4 linked regions of the Schizosaccharomyces pombe genome follow. The protein of the gene in region 1 purifies or fractionates together with the protein of each later gene. This does not show direct contact. Each region holds a gene or a part of one and is shown in the gene's direction. Other genes may lie near its edges. The genes, in order: tti1, tra2, tra1 and asa1.

Evidence for each region.
Region 2: the proteins of tti1 (region 1) and tra2 purify together in Schizosaccharomyces pombe (affinity purification with mass spectrometry, with the first as the bait; 2 studies listed by BioGRID). This does not show direct contact.
Region 3: the proteins of tti1 (region 1) and tra1 purify together in Schizosaccharomyces pombe (affinity purification with mass spectrometry; 3 studies listed by BioGRID). This does not show direct contact.
Region 4: the proteins of tti1 (region 1) and asa1 purify together in Schizosaccharomyces pombe (affinity purification with mass spectrometry, with the first as the bait; 2 studies listed by BioGRID). This does not show direct contact.

The regions. Positions count from the first base shown.
Region 1 is NC_003421.2:1,420,603-1,427,768, reverse strand, and holds tti1 (TTT co-chaperone complex, armadillo-type fold subunit Tti1), read left to right. Parts: upstream 1-1,901; 5' UTR 1,902-1,922; coding exon 1,923-5,219; 3' UTR 5,220-6,623; downstream 6,624-7,166. Other genes in the region: SPOM_SPCC622.14 (GTPase-activating protein), read right to left, coding at 60-137, 459-671; NADP-specific glutamate dehydrogenase Gdh1, read left to right, coding at 6,957-7,166. UniProt on the Schizosaccharomyces pombe protein: Component of the TORC1 and TORC2 complexes required for the regulation of the cellular respons to changes in available nutrients.
Region 2 is NC_003424.3:257,918-262,621, forward strand, and holds the start of tra2 (phosphatidylinositol kinase-like protein Tra2), read left to right. Parts: upstream 1-1,693; 5' UTR 1,694-1,801; coding exon 1,802-1,865; intron 1,866-1,926; coding exon 1,927-4,704. Other genes in the region: plasma membrane potassium ion transmembrane transporter Trk2, read right to left, coding at 1-267, 303-1,203, 1,244-1,398, 1,439-1,544.
Region 3 is NC_003423.3:1,902,382-1,907,414, reverse strand, and holds the start of tra1 (SAGA complex, phosphatidylinositol pseudokinase subunit Tra1), read left to right. Parts: upstream 1-1,996; coding exon 1,997-5,033. Other genes in the region: ribosome biogenesis protein Yar1, read left to right, coding at 1-183; ubiquitin-conjugating enzyme Ubc7, read right to left, coding at 671-924, 974-1,031, 1,428-1,616. UniProt on the Schizosaccharomyces pombe protein: Essential scaffold subunit of the transcription coactivator SAGA complex. SAGA acts as a general cofactor required for essentially all RNA polymerase II transcription.
Region 4 is NC_003424.3:5,067,580-5,071,537, forward strand, and holds asa1 (ASTRA-associated protein 1 Asa1), read left to right. Parts: upstream 1-2,012; 5' UTR 2,013-2,116; coding exon 2,117-3,223; 3' UTR 3,224-3,419; downstream 3,420-3,958. Other genes in the region: serine protease Psp3, read left to right, coding at 261-1,616; protein Red1, read right to left, coding at 3,633-3,838, 3,883-3,958. UniProt on the Schizosaccharomyces pombe protein: Component of the ASTRA complex probably involved in chromatin remodeling.

The DNA.
Region 1 (7,166 bases):
TGTGAATAAAATCAAAATAAGGTAAACTGGAAAAAATATAGAAGGTTCAAAGATCATACTTTTTCACGAATACTTCCGGCAGCAGAAAACATCGGGTCTGTAGACAAGAATGTTTTAGCATTAGAATTTCCACCAACCTGTATAGAAGTTAGTCAGGAGCATGCAACAAATGTGGGCTATATATGTTGTTTCAAGTCATTGATGAAATTATAGTGAGCTTGCATTTTATAACTTCAGGTGATAATCAATTGCGCGTCATGTACTTGTTTTTAACATTAAACATTATTCTTGTCAAAAAAAGGCACTAAATGACTTGGAAAAAATTCGAAATAGCGGCAAGCAAACTCGCAGATCAATAGCGCTACCCTCTCAGCCAAATGAATTATTATATATATATGTTTTTTTTTTGGTAAAATAACCAACAAACTCCAATAGCCCGTATCAATCCTGATGCTTACCTCCATCATCTTCACTTGACGTTCACTCCAATTGTCCATGGTAATACTGCGGACAAAGCTCTTTTCGACTCCCAAACCACGATGCTGTCCACTGCAATCCAAACAAATGAAGATTCCCAAATTACAAGATGCCCATTGTGGATTTGGAGCATCACAATCAAAACATTTCTTGTTTTCAGGAAGACGAGTGAGTTGGTCTAATTTATACGACATTTTTTATTAGATTATTTAAACAACCAACTCATTAATTGTAGTTTGTTCTAAGTGACTTTGAAATTTCGTTATTTTCATGTCTCACCATGGTGTGAGATTTTATGGAAGTGCGTAAGAAAACGTTAAAGATCTGGTGAAACGTATTCCAAGTATATAAAATCAAAACATGAAGGAAATAAATATGTCGTGCAGTTGAATGCATTTATGAGTTTCAACTTTTTCTTGTTTTTGATCCATACTGTTTAAAATACCAGCATCTAGTTTCTTGGAAAGCTTACGGTATTATTTTGAGCAATTTTCATATCTGTCTAAGAGTTCATTGACCTTCAAAATAAATAGATTAAAGAGATTATTCAAGTTACAATAAGTTTGGTTTAAGAAAATGCAAATTAGTTTAAACAATCCTCTCGTTTTTGAAACAAACTGATAATTCAGTGATTTTTGACTACAAATAGAAATTCAGAAATTACTGTGTTCCTCGCTTGTTAAAGGTATGTAGCAGAAAATCTCTTATGAGTTGGCTACCTCTTAAGTTGTATCGTCTTTATGAACTTAACGACTTTTTTAAGGACTATAGAGGACTAGAAGCTTGAAACTACAAAACTAGACTAGTAAAAAGGTTATACCCTTATAAATTTGAGTGAATACATCCACTACTTCCATTGCACACATTAAACCAGTCTTAGTCTGCATAGCAAAGTAATTTGAGCTACAAATTATTTATACTATATATATGTCTTTCGACACACACGTTAAAATGTTTATTAAAAAATATAAAATAATACTATCGAGTTTTTAATTCAATGTAAACAGATACGCTAAAAGGCTGAAAGGCTACGAAGTTATTATTATTGTAATTGCATAGCTTCAAAAATTCTCTCTTTAATTTAAAATTTTAGTTGAGATCAAAGTAATGGTCATCAGTAAGAACTTGAATGTAACCCTAAAACTTGCAGCTTTTTGCAATATATCTTTCCAAGTTTTTAAGAACAAAGTCAAATCATTGCAACTCATTTTGCTAAATATTTTCAATGTTTCTCACGAAAACCGACTGGGAATTGGCTGTGCATCTAGTCAAAACACTTGCTATAATTTAGCACGACATTAAATATTCAAATCATTTGAATAATATTGAATTATTTATTAGAGAATACTGTAATATCATATACATTTCCAATCGCAAAAGTATGCATTTTTAAATGGTTTGCTTGTATATGACCTACCATCTCTATAACTTCATGGTTTCTCTACATGTCTCATATACAGAGTATTTTCGCACAAATTCGAGATCCTTTTCGAAAGTTAAGCTTCTATTCTCTTCCTCTATCTTCTGAAACTTCATCTGTTGACTCCAATGGGTTAAAGAACTCGTTGAAGGATGCGTACTTTGGGCTGGAAAAAGCATTGACCAATACAGACGCCGATTTACCACTAAATTTATGCGATTACATATTTTTTCCAATTGTACCTGTACTAAAGTCCTGGTATCGTGTCCCAAGTACAGGAGTGGAGTATGCCATTCAGTGCGTGAATTTGCTTTACAAGCATGGTTGGAGGGAAGCTCATAATGAAATGTTGACGATGCAACTATTATTGATGCTTCTTAATATAGCAGATGGATGGAAATCTCCTTCGGAAACTGTGGAACAAGATTTTCGTGTTCGAGAAATTACTTTCGAAACGCTTGAGAACGTTATTACAGATTTTAAGCCTAATTTTCACGATAAAAGACAGTATCTTCTCTTTGCGAGAGCTCTTTCTAGTGCTTTGGATATTATTCCAAATAAAAATAGCTCACGGAGATTACAGTTTGCCTCATTGTGTTGCGTCCAAAAGCTAATATGCCCAAAGCAATATCGCTTACCAACAGAATTTCTTACTACTTTTCTTCCTGGCATAGTATCGGGATTGACAAAGGGACTGGCGCCAAATGGAACCTGTCAGTATTTTAAAAACGTGTGTATCTCTTTGAATATTTTAGGTGATACAGTGGTGAAAGCTATTAGTGACGATAACACAAAAGATTTGCCAGATGAAAAAGATGCTTCTTCTAATTCTCATTTTTTTGGCCCAACGAAGCGTACAAAGTCTTGGAAACGCGCTACCTGCCAACAATTAAGCAATGCCGTCAAGGCAATTCTTCACCTTCGTTCTTCACAAAACTTACATGTACAAGATGCTTTATTTGATTTTTGCTTTATCCTATTTAGAGATTGTTTAGATTCACTAAAAGATTGTAGGATTCATTTACTAGAGAGCATGCTAAAATTGATCAATAAAAAAGAAAATCCAAAATTAAGGGACTATGGGATGAACAAACTCGTTTCTCTCATTGAATCATTCAACAATATTACTATGGAATCAGTATTAACTGAATGCCTAAATGATTGGTCTACTACATGGTCTAGTGTTTCCACTTTTGCTTCAGAAGATAATAAATTGGAGGAGTTGAACCGATTGAAAAGTCTCTTAAGTATATCCAGTCATCTTCCTAAGACTTTGCAGCTCATGGAGCCTTTACTGGATGGTATACTCAGCCAACTTGTACCAAAGTCATCGGGAATTGATTCCAATTCGCAGAAGCTTTTAACATCCAGTACTTCGAATGAGTACATCCATGGTGAATTTTTTGGTGGAAATGAGATGGAAAGAACAACACAAGAGATTGTTACAAGCTTCGCAAAGGCACCTAATGTTAAATATGTTATGCAGTCCTTACTTTCTAAGGCTACCTCAGCAACAAATGAAAACTCGGTTCGTGCATTTTGGGCATTTATGGTACTTTTGAAAAGTGACGTAGAAACGGTGGACAGTTTGGAAATGTATATTGATTCATTAGAGCAATATTCATTCGAAGTATTGCAACAATTATCGCAATTAAATGTCTTTACGAAAGCATCGTTGGAGGATAAGCAGAAAAAGGAAAAGTATAATCTTTTGTGTGTTCGTTCTTGCATTGCTATTGACAGCATTAGCTGGATTTCTTCTTTACAAGGAGTAAAGTTTCGATCAAAATTAATGGCATATTTTTATCCTCTCCTTGAACATTTGGCGTTTGCTTCTCCTTATGTATCTTCGTTTGCAGAGGCATGTATTCAAGCAATTGCGACAAATTGCAACTACTCGACGCCAGCAGAGTTACTTAGAGAAAATATTGACTATGTGGTCAACTCAGTTGCCCTCAAATTGAACACATTAGACGTATCACCTCAACTTCCAATTGTGATGGCTTATGTAATAAAGAATGACGATGGAGGATGCATTCGGTACATTGGAGATGTAGTGGATGCTATTTTTGGGATTTTGGATGCTTACCATGGTTACGCACGGCTTACAGAAGGGTTGCTTGGAATTCTTTATGCCATAATAAAGCAAGAAAGTATAAATGGCGAGGAGAAAAAGCTCATCGTCGGGGTGGAGGAGGACGCAATGAACGAGGATAAAAATAAGCCATGTAAAAAGATTCGCGAATTCGTTCAACTACTATTAGAGAACCCTAATTATCCTCTTCCAAAAGATGATCATGAACTAGAGGATATGATACACGATGAACAACAAGAAACGAAAAGTGGACATGAACAGTTTCGCGAACATGCAATGAAGGAAAAAGAAAAGAAGGGCAAAGAAAATGAAAATATGGGTGAGACCACAGTTGATCATGAAAACATAAATAGTAATGTTATGGACGAACAAGGAGAAAAGCAAAAAGATGATGTCGTCGATATGGTAAGGAAAATCACGGAAAAGGCGCAGTTATTCTTATCACATGAACAAATTACGATACGAGTGGAAATGTTAAAATTGTTGAGCTATGGAAGCAATGTTTTGGCTAAGGAGCCAAACACATTTTATCCTGCTATTAATACATTTTGGCCATTGGTCGTTATTCAGCTTGACACGGATAACGAACTGCTAGTAGAATGCGCATTAGAAACTATATATCAAGTTTGCGCCCTTGCAGATGATTTTATGACATCTAGGATTCGCCAAGATTTGCTTCCACGATTGGAGACGTTGTGCCAACGTTGGCATCTTTTCAATGTTGCTCGAACATATTCTAGTGAGCATCGTTTGCAAAGGGCAATGCTAAAAGTAACTTCAGCATGTGTGGCTAACAAATTGAGCATTGTAGTGTATTTGAAGCTTATGGGGATAACGGCACCCATCATACGAGCCATTACTCACATGTCTCAAAAGTATGCGGGGGATGAATCATTGGTGGAAGAAACTTGGAACGCATTTTCCAAGCAAAATCCCGACGCAGTGTATTATGAGAGAGAAGTTCGAGGGTCTCAAATGATTGACACTTTCTCTACTGAATTGTTAATTCCGGGAAAGCAACGTGTTCAACGTACATATCGCCGAACACATGAAGTTTTGGAACCTGTCGGAGCAAAGACGTCGGAGACTGTTTTCAATGATTTGCTTGGGCAACAAGGCAGCGGGAAAACCGAGACACAAGAGGAACCACTCCCTTCTTTGGACAATTTGTTACACTTGAATCAACCGAAAAAAGGAGCTAAAAAACCATTGATTTCCATCATTTAACGATAATAAAAGTGGTTACCAGTTTTAGAATTTTCCGTGTTTTAAAAGAAAATACAAAGAGCCTAAAAATCAGGCAAAGAATTCCATTACATCGCATAAAATTATATTGGCAAAGGCTCGACTTTTTTCATCTTGGCATTATTTGATTTGACTAAGGCTGTACTCGATTCAACTTGTTTCGATTTAGATGAGCCATTTTACCTACATTCAATGAGTCAGACTCAACGAATTTAGCTAAGTTGACGAAACGAGGCTGGCAGCTACCTAAATTATACTAAAAAACAAACTCATCTTGCTACCGAGCACAACGACGATCGCACCTTGTTTCGTAGTTTCGCTAATCTTTCGAATGAACTATTTTCTATCCAATTTTAGATTCAAAGCAAACAGCCACATGATCGGGCAAGGAATAAATGGACAAACGATAGTGGGATAGTGGGTTATCAGAAGACCAAAAAATAAAGAAATTTGAAATTTTTCTAACTTACATCTACGCTACGAATTTCATGACTCTGTTTCGTTTGTCTTTTTTCTATTGAAAGCTAGTCATGACTATGGCTGCTAAGGCGCAATACGTTTGGATGAGCGAATGTTTAGTCCATACTGTAAAACCGAGGCAAGGCCGTTTACTCGAATTTTCGGATATGTATTTGCGATTTGGTCTGCCTGGAAGAACCTACCCGTTTCAGTGTGATTCGACCTATTTCAGTATTTAGCGTTTTTTTCTTTTGGTACTATCCTTAGTTATCCTTGTTATCAGTAAGGGGGCAGCAACTGAAAGGAGTAAAGAATAGACCCTTTAAATGGATGTGAGAGATTGGAACGAGATTAGATTAACAAAGGACTTGGACTTTTCCAGATTTTTTTTCTTAAAAAAATTATAGAAACTGTTAATCAACAGAAAGCGAAAATCTTCTATATTACAACATTAACCTCTCTAAAACATTTTTTTTTCATCTAAAAACATCTTTCCCCCCCCCCCAAGCACCCCATCCCACTAAGGATCTTCTATAATTCCATGGATTTTCCCGGAGGAGCTGCGTTTTCCCCACATTTTCAGTAGGGTGGGTGATAGCCGTTGCACGGACCAATCATTAAGCAATGCTTATCTTATCTTTATTTGGTTGAGCAGGAGACGAAGGAATTCTGTGAGGGGGTTGGCTTATCAGATCGGAAATTTTCCGCTTAAGTAATCTTCTTTTCCACTATCCAATTATAGAGAAAAGAGATATATAGGAGCATTGTGATTGGAGATTTTGACATCATACTTACATCCTATTCGTCTGTTATCTCCGCCATCGCTCTTCCATCAGGTTTATTGCAAGTCGTCAGCCATTAGCAAACGTATGGTCTCCCAAAAAACAAGGTATCTGGTGTGACTGTTGATTATTGCTTGTTAAGTGTATAAATATAGCAGACATGGCCAGCACGTCCCTGAATCCTCCTGCTACACTGCACTGGTACATCTGGTAAGCGTTTTGAACCCGGATCGATATCTCTTACATACTCACGTTGTAAGAGTTTTGTTGGATTGTAGTTAAATTTTGAAAGTCTTTGCGTTGAAGGCGTCGAATACGGATTTGTATAGAACTTTGGATTGTACAGCCTGTATTTGTATTGTTAAAAGTTTTCGAGGTCGCCTTTTTTTGATATCTCGAATTCTCTAAACTTATCATTATTATATAGATATACACTCTATATCACTACCTTCGATTTTGTTTACTTTTTTGGCCCACCATGAGTACCCCATACGAACCTGAATTTCAACAAGCCTACAAGGAGATTGTGGGCTCCATCGAGAGCTCCAAGCTCTTTGAAGTTCATCCCGAGTTGAAGCGTGTGCTTCCAATCATTTCCATTCCCGAACGTGTCTTAGAATTCCGCGTCACATGGGAGGACGATAAAGGTAACTGCCGTGTTAACACCGGCTACCGTGTCCAATTCAAC
Region 2 (4,704 bases), on another chromosome or scaffold:
AGGCATAAAATGCAGAATTTCTGCCCACTGTTGCATTGTACGATAAATAAGGTAAACTCATTGTGCTAGCTTTCGTGTGAGTACGGTTGAATGTGAGTCTTCGAGGAAGAGCAGATGTAAATGATTTGGCTAATTGAAATGGTAGGACAGACATTGAGCGCTCATTCCTGTGAAGTGTAGGTGTAACAGCAAATGATTTACCACGTTTTCTACCTCGTCCATCAAGTCGATGAGCACCTTTTTCCTGCTCAGCTCCATTCGTGTCATCTAAAGGTCAATATTAAAATCACGGAATGACTTACCAGCAAAATATATAGGCCTGCGATTATGCCTGGGAACAGGGGTTGGTGCAATGGTAATTGCAGAGCCGCGTACTACATTTTGATGTGCATCGTTAGTAGTTGCAGCAGCCTGATGATCAAAATTCGAATTTTGAGGTGAATAAGATGCTACATGTGGATCATTGTCAACTCTTGTTGTGCTGTAGTTTGAGTTTGAGGATGAAACAGTTTCCTGATTACCATCATTTGCAGTTTCTAGGGAAGGATTGTGCGAAGAGATAGAACTGTTGTTATCCAGATGATGGTTCAGTTGTGTTTGATTCTCGTGGTCATGTACTTGAGGCTCAAAATCCTCAGGAATTGTTTGAAAAGATGATTCTTCAAACGAACTAGGAATGTAAAAGTCGACAGGATTATTTCTAGCATTGTTTTGTACAACGGATAAAGATCCATTGTCGATTGATGCCATTCTTCGTTTCCCAAGAGCTGGACTTAATGCTTCAGTTCTGTCTTCATTTTCTTGAGAATTTCTAACACCTGCATAACTAGGGAGAGCGGGCATGGTATTCCCGCGAAAGAAGCTTGGGCGATCGATTGCATTAGCAAATTTCCTTAGACGAAAATGGTGCCTGTGATGTTTTTCATTCTCTTGGTGTTCAGCTTCCTCAGCCTTAGTCTCTGGGGCAACTGGCCGGTGCATTTGATTACCCTGGTCTAACAAAACCCGAATTTTTCGATTGCCAACTTTGGAAGGCTCTGGAGTATCCCTTCTTCTTACAGTGTGATAAGTATATGTCATCCTAAGTTTATTATTTGTTATGACCATGTCATATCGCTTGTTATAGAAGTACAGCTTAAACAAAGTCAAGCCCAGGTTCACAGTAATTGGTGTACTCAAAACTCCAAAAAGGAGAATAGTTAACTAAAAAATAGTTAAAAAATTTATTTAAAAATATGCATACCTGTTGGTAAATGGATATCTGCGTGAGGTCCACAGGCTGCAAGCCAGTCTGAGTACAAGAACCAGAAGCCAACAACAAAGCATCTATGTAGCGCAAATTTCCCGACCCATACAATATTACTGAACATAAAATAGTCATTCCTATTATAAAAGAATCTTGAACAAAGTTAGGCTTGAAAAGAAGTTTTTCACATACAATGGTATTCAAGGAACCGGAACCGTTTGTAGAAAAACCCGATAACTGCATGATAAAATCTGTATAATATTTTCCTTCTTAAAAACCTTCTATATCGTACAAACATGTCATAGTTTATAAAGCAGTATTATATTGTATTTGATAAAAATTACACTCACGTCGATTTCAAATAGCTTCAGTGGCTTCTTGAATAGTGCAGTTTTGCGTCCTCACTATACGATTCACCTTGAACATAGCAACAACTAAACAACATCTGACAGTAATCGTTCTGTGCTTTTTTACAGCTGTGTCCAAAATCTCGTAGTGTATCAAGTTTGGTTTCAAAGATTTATTAAAAAGTATCTGCATGGACCGAACTTTGTTATGGAAGACGGTTTTGAAAAGTCGCTCAGCAGCTCTATAGAGCTACTGAAAGCTGAAAGTACAGGTATATAAATTTTTGTAGATATTTTGATTCATTTTTTTATTTTATACTAACTTTTTTTAAGAAATAGAAGAAAAAATCAAACTAACTAAAATTTTAATTACTAAGGTTTCTAGCATATCTTCAGACGCCTCGCAGCTGTATGCAGAATTAATTCCACTACTCTTGGATTTTTTACGAAATACAGAGGTGAATCTTTATAGAAATTCTTCTGTCAATGAACTCAAGATCGAAGCATTGACTTTAATACAAAGTTGCGCTCACCGTGATGAATTTAAACAATATGCGCAGTCTTGTGTGCTTTCGTTCATTAGCTTGATTAAAGCAGATAATGAAGAAGTCGCTGTTTTTTGCTTAAAAGTTATTATGGATATATTCAAAACTTTTAAGTTTTGTATAGAAAGCACTGCACAACCCTTTTTTGACTTGGTACTTGAGCTTTCTACAAACCTTCCTTATTTAATTCCCTCAATATTTGTCGAGAATCCAAAATCAAATGAAGAGGAAAATACAACCCTGGCTTTTGGTAGTTATCTGTCTACGGAAACTTCAATCATCCAACAGCGTGTCAATTCTTTAGCTATTTCTACTCAACCTTTGGAACTGGCTTCTCAAAGTTTCCGCGTGTATGTAGAGTGTCCGGTCATTATAGTTTTGATTCTTCAAGCATATCGTCAAGCTGCTTTCCCTGGTGTTCAAGCCATAATTCCCTGTTTTCTTAAGATGGTACAAATTGATGTTCCAATAGACATCGCTTCATATGCAATGATTGAAAAAGATTCAAGCATTGACTTTATTGAGTTTATAAGGAATAAATATCAGTACCGTAATTTTTTTATGGCTCAAGTAAAGACTTTATCTTTCTTGGCTTATATTTTACGAACTCATCCCAATACACTTTCTGAGAAGGATATAATACCGGACATTGTAATAAAGCTTTTGAGGCGATGCCCTTTTGATATGTGTTTTGCCCGTAAAGAACTGCTGGTTGCTACGAGACATATTCTGTCAACAAACTTAAAATCTCTTTTTGTCAAAAAGCTGGATTTTTTGTTAGATTTAAATATATTATTAGGAAATGGAGTTGGTACTCAAAAGCTGTTACGTCCCTTGGCATTTAGTACATTAGCTGACTTACTTCATCATGTACGTGACGAACTTAACGAAACGCAAATAAGAAAATCTATAATGATTTATTCGACCAATATGCATGATTTGACTCTTAGCATTGGGTTACAGACTATGGGTGCCCGGCTCATTTTAAACATGGTTGACAGAATGATTAGTCTTCCTAGCATCCCCGATGCTATATTTCTTCTTTTATCTATTTTTGATAGCTTTGTAAATAAGTTTTCGGAACTTAATGATAGTTTGGATCAGTTTTTTAAGAAAAAGTATGAAGAAGAAATTAAAGAGACAAAGTCACCGACGCGTTCTTCTCCTAGGGATTTATCTTCATTTAGCACTTCCGTCAATGATGGATCATTTCTTTTTAAAAACTTGATGTTTGGCTTACGGGCTCTTATGTATGGGCTTCGTACATGCAAGTCTCGATGCATAGAAATTGGAGGTGAACAATTTTCGGGATTCCTTACGAATATCAAGCCTTTCGAAGCTGTTACGTTTCAGAAGCTTTTTTTTGAGGTTGGCAAAGGATTCTCATATTTTCGACCTGAGCAAGTCTATTTAGAAACTTTTTTCTGCTGCGAAGAAGAAAGTTTAGATCGCCCTGCTATATCTACGCTTCCTCGTAACAAAGACGAGAAAGATTGTCTTGAAGTATTTGCTACCATTTTTATACATCTCGAGCCATCTATATTTCTTAAAGTTTTTGAAACAAACCTTCCTACTTTTTTTGATCAACTTAAAAAAAATCTCACATTATTTCACATTCCACAGTTTTTGCTTTCAAATGAGAGCACATCATCAAAATTTTTAAATATTTTACTTCGATTTCTGCTTTCCAGAATTGAGGAACTCGGATCTTCTGACATCAGGCATGGTTCTGTCTTGTTGCGTTTGTTTCGTCTTTCTTTCGTTACAGTCTCAATGTTTGCAACAGAGAATGAGCCAGTTCTTCGGCCTTATGTATCTGAAATTATTGTGAAATGTATGAAGTTGGCTCCCAATTCTGCTAATTCATTGAACTACTATTATCTATTAAGAGCGTTGTTCCGAGGAATTGGTGGGGGAAGATTTGAAAGCCTTTATAAAGAAGTAATGCCTTTGTTGCACGCTCTATTAGAGGCATTTAATTCATTGCTTATATCTGCCCGTACTCCGAAGGAGAAAGACCTTTTTACCGAACTTTGTCTTACTATTCCTGTAAGGCTTAGTCTTTTATTACCATACATGAGTTATCTAATGAGACCTCTCGTCATGTCTTTAAAAAGCAGTCAAGAATTAGTTAGTCAGGGATTACGAACCTTTGAATTATGCTTGGATAATCTCACTCCTGATTTTTTGGATCCGATAATGGCTCCTTACATAGAAGATCTAATGAATGCTTTATGGAGTCATCTACAACCTCTTCCTTATAATTATAATCACAGCCATACTGCCTTGAAAATACTTGGTAAACTTGGTGGAAGAAATAGGAAGCTTCTTGATAGAGTCCAGAGTTTAAAGAATTCGCCGGAACCGAATAACGATTTTACTTTACTTCTTTCGATAAAAGGGGTTAAACAACCACAACTTTTACATTACACCCAATATGTTGATGAGGCTGTGAATTTGCTTTCTAGCCCTTCTAGTGATCTGGAGGTTAAGCAACAAGCGTTCACTTATGTTTGCAATATTTCAAAGCTCTATGTTTATAAGAGTGACGCTACTAACAGCTTAG
Region 3 (5,033 bases), on another chromosome or scaffold:
TGCAAATTACTACTGGAAGCGGGAGGTGATCCTCATATTAAGAATATTTATGAGAAGTCACCTATATATGAAGCTGATATTCGAAATCAGCAAAAAGTAATGGACCTTTTTCTGGATTTTGAGATTGCTAAAGGTAGTGAAGAAAACACTGGTGATGAAGAAAAATTGGAAGATGGAATATGATCGTTTTATTTGATAATTTCTGATTTTTATTTTGTAAAAAAATTTACCTCTTTCTTTTGTAGGTTGTGGGAAGCTAATATTTTTATGCACCTGATGCATTTTTTTTTTCTTTTGGAGCATAATTTGGGGTTATTCTTATATTTTGTTAAGTTTTTTACTGTGTAATTTCTAGATGTTTTCTCAATATAATTCGTTTTCAGCGATGTACGTTGCCATGTATCTGTGTAGAAAGTTCAAGTGATGTTTATTAAAAGATGGATTATCTCAATAGACAAAATGTTTATCTTCCATCATTTACAGATAGAAATTGAATTGGAAAAGTGCTTTCATTTTTGTTTAAACCTTGTAATTAAACCTATGTAGCGTTATACGTTGGAATAGAAAGAGAAAAGCCTACCGGTTGCGTTCAAAAATGGAACAAAACTTTATTTCTAGATTTTATCAGGTTCGTTATTCATGGCAATCTAATCAAATATACAATTCATGGTTATAATCCCAAGGTTTTACGAGCCAATCGTCGAACTACACGACAATATTCTTCTCGATCTTCTCTCCACATCTTGCACGCATCGATGTTAGCACCACTTTCATCGTTTGGTTCCGCCAACATCGACATTACCGATAACAGTATTTTTTCAACAGATTGAACAGGAGACCAACGTTCTGAAGACGACTCATACATATTTGGATCGTCACCAGGTGCATGTAGGATGGAAATGCAAACCGTCCCATCTTTGTAAACTGAAATGAAGGTTAGTCTCGAAATTTGGATTAATAGTATCTGGCATACCATTTGGATGGAAAAATTCACACTCAAACTTTAAAGTAGGGGGGCCAAGAGGATAATCCTACATAAAAAAGTTAGAATCCAATAAAAATAAAACTAAGCACGTATCAACGTGCGCTTGAACACCCCGGATGTACTGCCATGCGATTCAAAGAAAGAAACCAAACCCCCAAAAAAAAACTTAGATAGATCTTTTAAATAAAATTTCTTCCTACTCATCAATAAATCGAAGGATTCATCAATTACTAATGAATAAAAGCACTTCTCTTAAATGATCATTCTAAACGAATGGATTATTGAGTTACTTTCTTTATTTACGCTGAACAAATGTTAATTTATGAAAAAGAGCGCGTATTTTTTAATAAGTAGTTGATACATAAAACATGCGAAACATCATACTTATCCACAACTTAAATCACATGTTCAGTCTCCATCAGGTTTATAGTAAAGGACTTACGGAAGGAAATTTCAAGGTAGCAGGGTATAACCCACCTTCAAATGGAGTTCCATCAGGGCCTTGAATTAGGCAATCCCAAGTAAAGAAATCATCCTCATTCGATGGACCTGCAGTAATACCATCAGGCCCATTCTCCGTTAACTCCTTATACTCCTTCATTAACCGTCGCAACGCCATAGCTTTACTCATTTTGGAAATCAATTAACTTACTAATCGGTAAGATATATTAAAGATCACTGACTAAAAGGTAGCCTAAAAATGGTAATGAACAGATTAATGAATGAATGGTTTGTTTACGACAAATTATGCAGCTGAGGCTAAACGAACTTTTGTGGTATCACTCGCTATTTTTATCTCGTTCATCATTTTAGCAACTTCTACCGCACAAAATAATAAGGCCGTTAATTAAAATAGCGAAAACATGTAAAATTCATAAAGTGATTTAGAGGAAAGAAATGCAGCTTGCTCTATCCCACAACATTCCAATAGTAATTGTTAAATACTTAGGAAAACGTATCCGAGTGCAATTGGAATTTAAAAAAGAGCTTGCGCAGAGATCCAAGCATCTGATGGATGTATCACAATGCGAACATTGGCATAATCGGCTTTGTGATGTTGGATTAGACTCGAAGCAAAAGGCAAACACAGCAATTGAAATTCGAGATGCACTGGATGATGTGTTGGTAACTGAAAAGACGAATTTTGAAACTTTCATTCCTCTTTTGGAGGACACGTTGTCTTTGCTTGAAAAGGAACGTCCTGTATTTTCATCGTTAGCAGCTACACATCGTTTACGCATTGCATTGCTTGAATTGCTCAAGAAATCTGGATCCTATAAAGGTTTTGAAGCATTCGTTAATCGGACTTTTGCCGTGCTTCTTCGTATAGTCGTTAATGATAATGAAGAGATGGCAGTGTTGGCATTGAAGCTTGTTGTCCTTCTTTTTAAGGACCACAGTAGCCTTGCTAAGGGACATGTTCAGGAATTTTTATCCATTGTCGTTGAAAACTACAAATCCATGACCACAGTTGTTTCAGAAGCTTTCCCACCTAGATCAGCTCCGAATACTCCATCCTCTCATCCCATGTCTGCTGCATCTTCTGCATCTCCTGCTGAAATTGGAATGGAACATGCAGGTCCAAAAATGATCCCAAAAGCTTCTTCGAGTTTCAAGGTCACTGCTGAATTTCCCATTATCGTCTTTCTCCTATTTCAAACATACAAAGATCTTATTCCGAAAATGCTTCCTTTACTTGCTCCGCTTGTACTTCAATTTATCTCACTTCGTCCTCCACCTCAAGCCGAAGCTCGTCGACTTGCAGAATCTCAAAAAGAGGTTTTTATTGGTGTAGTCCCTTCTTTGCGTCGAAATCATCTTTACAATGACCTTATTTCTGCGCAAATTAAATCATTCTCTTTTCTCGCCTATTTATTGAGAAGTTTTGGTGCTGCTCTTAAACAGTTTGAAAGCTCGATCCCAATATGTACCTTGCAATTGTTCATGGACTGTCCTTCCGAATTATATCAGACTCGAAGAGAACTTTTGGTAGCTACAAGGCACGTCTTATCGACGGATTATTTGAGAGGGTTTCTACCGTATGTAGATCAACTACTTGATACCAAAATTCTAGTTGGTTCTGGAATCACTTCTCAGCATTCATTACGACCCATGGCTTTTAGCATGCTGGCAGATATGCTTCATTATGTGCGTATGGAATTAAGTCCACAACAAATTTACAAAGTCATACTTCTTTATTTCAGTATTTTGATGGACGACTTTTATACTTCAGCTATTCAGGCAATGGCTACAAAGCTTATTTTAAACTTGGTTGAAAGAATTGTTGCACTAGAAGATTTTTCCACTAGCCGATCACTTCTATTTGCTATACTTTTATGTCTCTTAAGAAAATTGACTTCTCTGAATTTCGAGTTTATGAAGCTGAGAGATTCTTTACAGGAAAATGCTGACTTAAAGCAAATTAAAATAGAAGAAAATAAACATGATCTTCCTATGTTTGAGAACCCTACTGGAGCTGCCCAACCTTCAGGTTTGGATAAGCTAAAAGATTGCATATTTCTTTTTAAAAACACCTTATTAGGTATTAAGCCTGTTTTGTTTGGACTAAAGCAACGAAATATTCCTCTTGCCAACGGTTCCATTTTTACAGCTCAGGAATGGTCTGAAAAGTTACATCTTAGTTCAACTAATGAAGTTTTACTGTTTCGAAGATTACTTGTGGAAAGTTTAAAGGGATTCAGTTATTACCAGACAGATGAAAAAACCGGTGTATTCAAGTCCTCGAAAAATCTTGCATACTCTCAACTTGATTCTTCGTTGACCACAAACCCTTCTAAACTCTTAGAAGAGAAGGAGCTCTTAGAAATGTTAGCAACTTTATTTTTACACTTGGACCCATCTGTTTTCGTCGAAATTTTGGAATCCGAGTTTCCGAATATATTTGAGTGTCTAGTAGATAATCTTGCTTTATTGCATATTTTCCAATTTTGGATGTCTAATGAAGTTACTTCTGTCAACTGCACGGGCATCGTGCTGTCTTTTTGCTGTGACAATCTAGCTAAAATAGGGTCTGGCCAATCCACTCGGGTTTCTGTTTTATTGCGATTATTCAAGTTGGCCTTTATGACTGTGAATGTTTTTCCCGAAAAAAATGCAGAAGTCCTGCGTCCCCATATATCCTATATCATTTCAACTAGCCTCGAATTGACTACTGATGCTGTTGAACCTTTAAATTACGTTTATTTAATGAAAGCTTTGTTTAGAAATATCAGTGGAGGAAAATTTGATTCTCTTTACAAGGAAATACTACCACTTCTCCAAGTAATGCTAGAATGTTTCAACAGATTGATTTTTACTGTTACGTCTACATCCCAAAAAGAGCTGTATGCGGAACTTTGTTTGACTTTACCCATTAGACTCAGTGTGTTGTTGCCTCATATGAATTTTTTAATGAAGCCATTGATTGTTGCATTAAAAGGCCCCCCTGAAATAGCTAGTCAAGGGCTTCGAATATTTGAACTTTGCTTGGATAATCTTACTCAAGAATTTTTGGATCCTTTATTGGACTCAATTATGCCGGATTTGCTGATATGCCTGTGGAATCATTCACGCCTTAATCAATCCAATAATCAATTGCATCAAAGTGCTGTGAGAATATTAGGAAAAATGGGTGGTCGAAATAGACAAATATATCTTGGTACCTTTGGCTTTGATTTTTTGCAAGATGAAAATATTTTTCCTTCAATCCAGTTTTCTTTCCAAGGCTCCTCTCAGAATTTTAGCTTAGAGCACTCCAAATTTTTAATGTCTTCATGTGCTGTTTTAAACAATCAAAATTCCGATTTAGAAGAAAAGAAGCAAGCATTTCAAATGGTCAAGAATTCGTATTTATTACTCTTTGCGTCTGCGAAGCCCGATGAAGACTTTTGGGAATCTATTGATACAATGTGCCGAGCAGTTGTAGATCGCATGGATAAAAACTTACAGCAAGTCTCTAATGGTAGGTTGTGCCCTGACAAAGATGAATCTTATTATCTGCAAAGATCTATTGTCTCAAACATTTTTAAATCTTTAGTCGGCTCAATGT
Region 4 (3,958 bases), on another chromosome or scaffold:
TTTTTCTTTGTTGCATTTTTTCTTTTGCAAAGCTTTATATTTGTATCCATTACTTGAAATCTTGTTGGTTTCTAAATTCCTTTCTTTTTTTCCGAATTCATTTTTTCAAAGACACTACGCGGTTGCTTGAAGCTGAAAGAGTTTGCTAATTGCTTATTTCAATCTGCTTTTTGAATTACTCTTGATTAAAGTACAAGTCTTCACTTTTTTTTTCGTGTGAGCGTGTGTGTAGAATTCTTCTTGTTCTCAATTTTTGTATCATGAGAGTTTCTTGGATTAGCGGTCTCTTATTAGTGGCGCACCTGGCTCCTTCCAGCGCCTTCAACCCTTTAAGGTTTTTCCTGGATGACACCTTTTCAAGCGGTGCTACTGAGGAACATTTTATGGGCCCCTCTGATGATGGTTTTGCGCTTCAGCAGCCCACCAATTATGATCCTTCTATGCCATTTCCTTTAGATGAATCGGCATCAGCCGCTGTGGATGCTGTGTCTAATAATTACATTGTCATGTTTAAACCTTCTGTTGACAAATCGAAGCTTGAGCAACATCATCGTTGGATTGAGCATTTACACGAGAAACGATCCTTAGATTTTAAGGATGTATCTACCTTTTTAATGAAGCATACCTTTGAAATTGGAGACGCTTTTCTTGGTTATGCTGGTCGTTTTTCTCCTTGGTTGGTGGCCGAGTTGCAAAAGCACCCCGACATTGCCCTTGTTGAACCTGACCGTGTTATGCATGTTATGACTGAACAAACTTTTGCACCTTGGGGTTTGGCTCGTGTATCTCATCGTAAAAAACTCGGTTTTTTTACCATGACTCGTTACCAATACAATGAGACTGCCGGTGAAGGTGTTACTGCATACGTTATCGATACTGGTATCAACATTGAGCACCAAGATTTTCAAGGCCGTGCCACTTGGGGTGCCACCATTCCCACTGGAGAAGGCGAAGTGGATGATCATGGTCATGGCACTCACGTTGCTGGTACCATTGCAGGAAAAACCTTTGGTGTATCTAAGAATGCCAAACTTGTTGCCGTTAAGGTAATGCGAGCCGATGGTACTGGTACCGTATCAGATATTATTAAAGGTATCGAGTTTGCCTTTAAGCAATCTAAGAAAGACAAGGAATCAATTGCAAGTGTCGTCAATATGTCCATCGGCGGTGATGCAAGTACTGCTCTTGATCTGGCTGTGAATGCCGCTATTGCCGGTGGACTTTTCTTTGCCGTTGCTGCTGGTAATGATGCAGAGGATGCTTGCGGTACCTCTCCAGCCAGAGTTTCCAATGCAATGACTGTTGGTGCTTCTACTTGGAACGATCAAATTGCTTCTTTTAGCAATATTGGATCTTGCGTTGATATCTTTGCTCCTGGTTCTTTAATTTTGTCTGATTGGATTGGATCTAACAGGGCTTCTATGATCCTTTCTGGTACTTCTATGGCTTCTCCTCATGTCGCCGGTTTGGCTGCTTATTTTATCTCTCTCGATCCTTCGCTGGCTAATCATCCTGTGGAGTTGAAGAAGTATATGCTGAAGTTTGCCCTAAAAGACTTATTAAATGGCATTCCTGAGGACACACCTAATGTCCTTGCCTTCAACAATTATGAGTAAACGCTAGTTATGTGTATGTAAATGTTAGCTTGATGACCTTGATTGTTTATTTTTTGATGCTCCGATACGAATGATCAATTAACCAAGTTGTTGAATATCTACTGTCATCAGACGAACAAGCTCAGAGTAATGACATTTGTTATGTTTAGCAATGAAATCATTTAAAACGATACCAATTTGTTCTTTTAGGACTGATTTTTTTTTGTAATGTCAGGTATAGTAGAATTTTATTTCATTTTCTTATCTACTACTTTTTGCACTATTGTTATCGTTCATTCGTACTAGTAGTAAATATGTAGTTTGACAAGTATGGTATATCACTTGGTAAAAAAAAATGCCTTCTGGATTCACCGTTATAATTTTGTCTTATACCGCTTATTAAAATTGATTCCCTTACCACCAACAATTCGTTTTACAGTTCAATTTGTATTGTTCCCCTATCCTCTCAGCTTGATGATTACAAATATTTGCTCAAAGTGGATGCTTTAATTTAAATTTTCATGGTAGTTCCTACTCCATTTTACGTTTTACGTGGTCATTCTAGCAGTGTCACTAGTGTACTTTTTGACGCTAATGAATACTTATATTCTGGTGATGAGGCAGGTTTTGTAATTTGTTGGTGTCTTACTAGTATGCGACCAAAATGCGCCTGGAGAGCTCATACAAAAACCATATTGGGCATGCAAATAGTCAAGGGAGGAGCCTTATGCACTCACGGTAGAGACTGTCGTCTCGTCACTTGGAAAATCGATTTTAATTGCATGACCGACAATTTTATGTCATTATCAAAACTAGCTGAACTTCAAAATTACGGTCCTGAAGCCTCTTCTGAAACTGAGAAGAGCAGCGCATTTATATCTATTCATTCCAATATCGTTGTTAATTCCCTAACCTTTTGCCCCTTCTCTTACTCTCCTCAATCTAAAATAGTAGTTTTATGCAATACATTGAACTTTGAAGAGCTTGATGTATATGATGATGAATCATTGTATCATCCTCAAACACACAAAGAGGATTGCGGAAAAAGACTACAGACGAGAATTCAGCCAGAAGAGTCTGTTGGTAAAACAGGATCAGTAATGTCAACCTCAGTAACCGTTACTGACGAGAAGTATGTACTATTAGCTGCCGGTTACGAAAGCGGTCATGTGGTTCAGTACATATGTTCATTAGAAAATGTAAAGACTGTTACCCTCGATTTTAAAGCTGTTTGGAAGATGGTTTACGCCTACAAAAGTCATTCTCAACCAGTTTTATCGGTAGAGTACGCTGGTTCCAAATTATTTTCAACGGGTGCTGATGACTGTATATGTCTGCATCCTACTCCTTCATCTATAGCTGATGATCTTGGTAGTCTGCCTCATCCTATATTTAGAAAGACAAAGCATTGTGGACAACAAAATATTCGTATACGAAGTGATAACAAGATATTAGCAACTGCAGGATGGGATGGTCGAGGTCGTGTTTACAGCTGCCAGACATTAGCTCCTTTAGCGGTTTTGAAATATCACTCCGATGGTATTAATAGTTTGGCCTTTCATCCAGGCAGCAACGTGATTGCGTTAGCTAGTAAAGACACCAGAATATCTCTCTGGAAGTTGTATTAGGGCAAAAGTTTAGGACATTACAGTTACGTTTAATCCATCATCATTTTCAAGAAATCATTTACTTTTGGTTTGCAGGATTCAATTCATTCTTATTACAATACGCGCATTTTTATCAATAACCATTGAAATGATTTTAAACGTATTACATATATTAAATATATTAAATATCAGACTAGTAAATGCTTAATCTTCCAGTATTTTGATATCGCCTCAAATAAGATGAGCGATTCATATGCAAGCATAGAAAGTACGAAAGACATAATTCTAACCTGAGCTATATTAAGTAGTGACATTAGTTTTATAACGGCAAAGAGCCATTGTTTATGTATAGTGATGTTTATAGTACAAGGACGTAATTTTGACGGTCAAAATTTTTACAGTTAGTTTGATGTTGCTTGGCAGTTTCAATCTAAATGGAAACCTTTGCAACAGGAATTGTCATTCTCTCCGACTTCCAAAGATTATGATATTCGACGATTCGAGTAGCAACATCGACGAAATCGGTGTTCTCATCGGTATTTTTCATGACTATATCTAAACCGGATTTATAAGACTCTTTCTCAATTTCATCATTTCCTTCGATGTACCTTGATAAATCTTGTATAATTTCATCATCTGTATAAAGGTTAGTCAAAAATCAACAGCACAAATACCATAACCCGTCATTTTAATGTCGCGAAAATGCGACGCCTCGCAATGGTCATCATTACAAACACCACCAGTGGTTTCGTATTT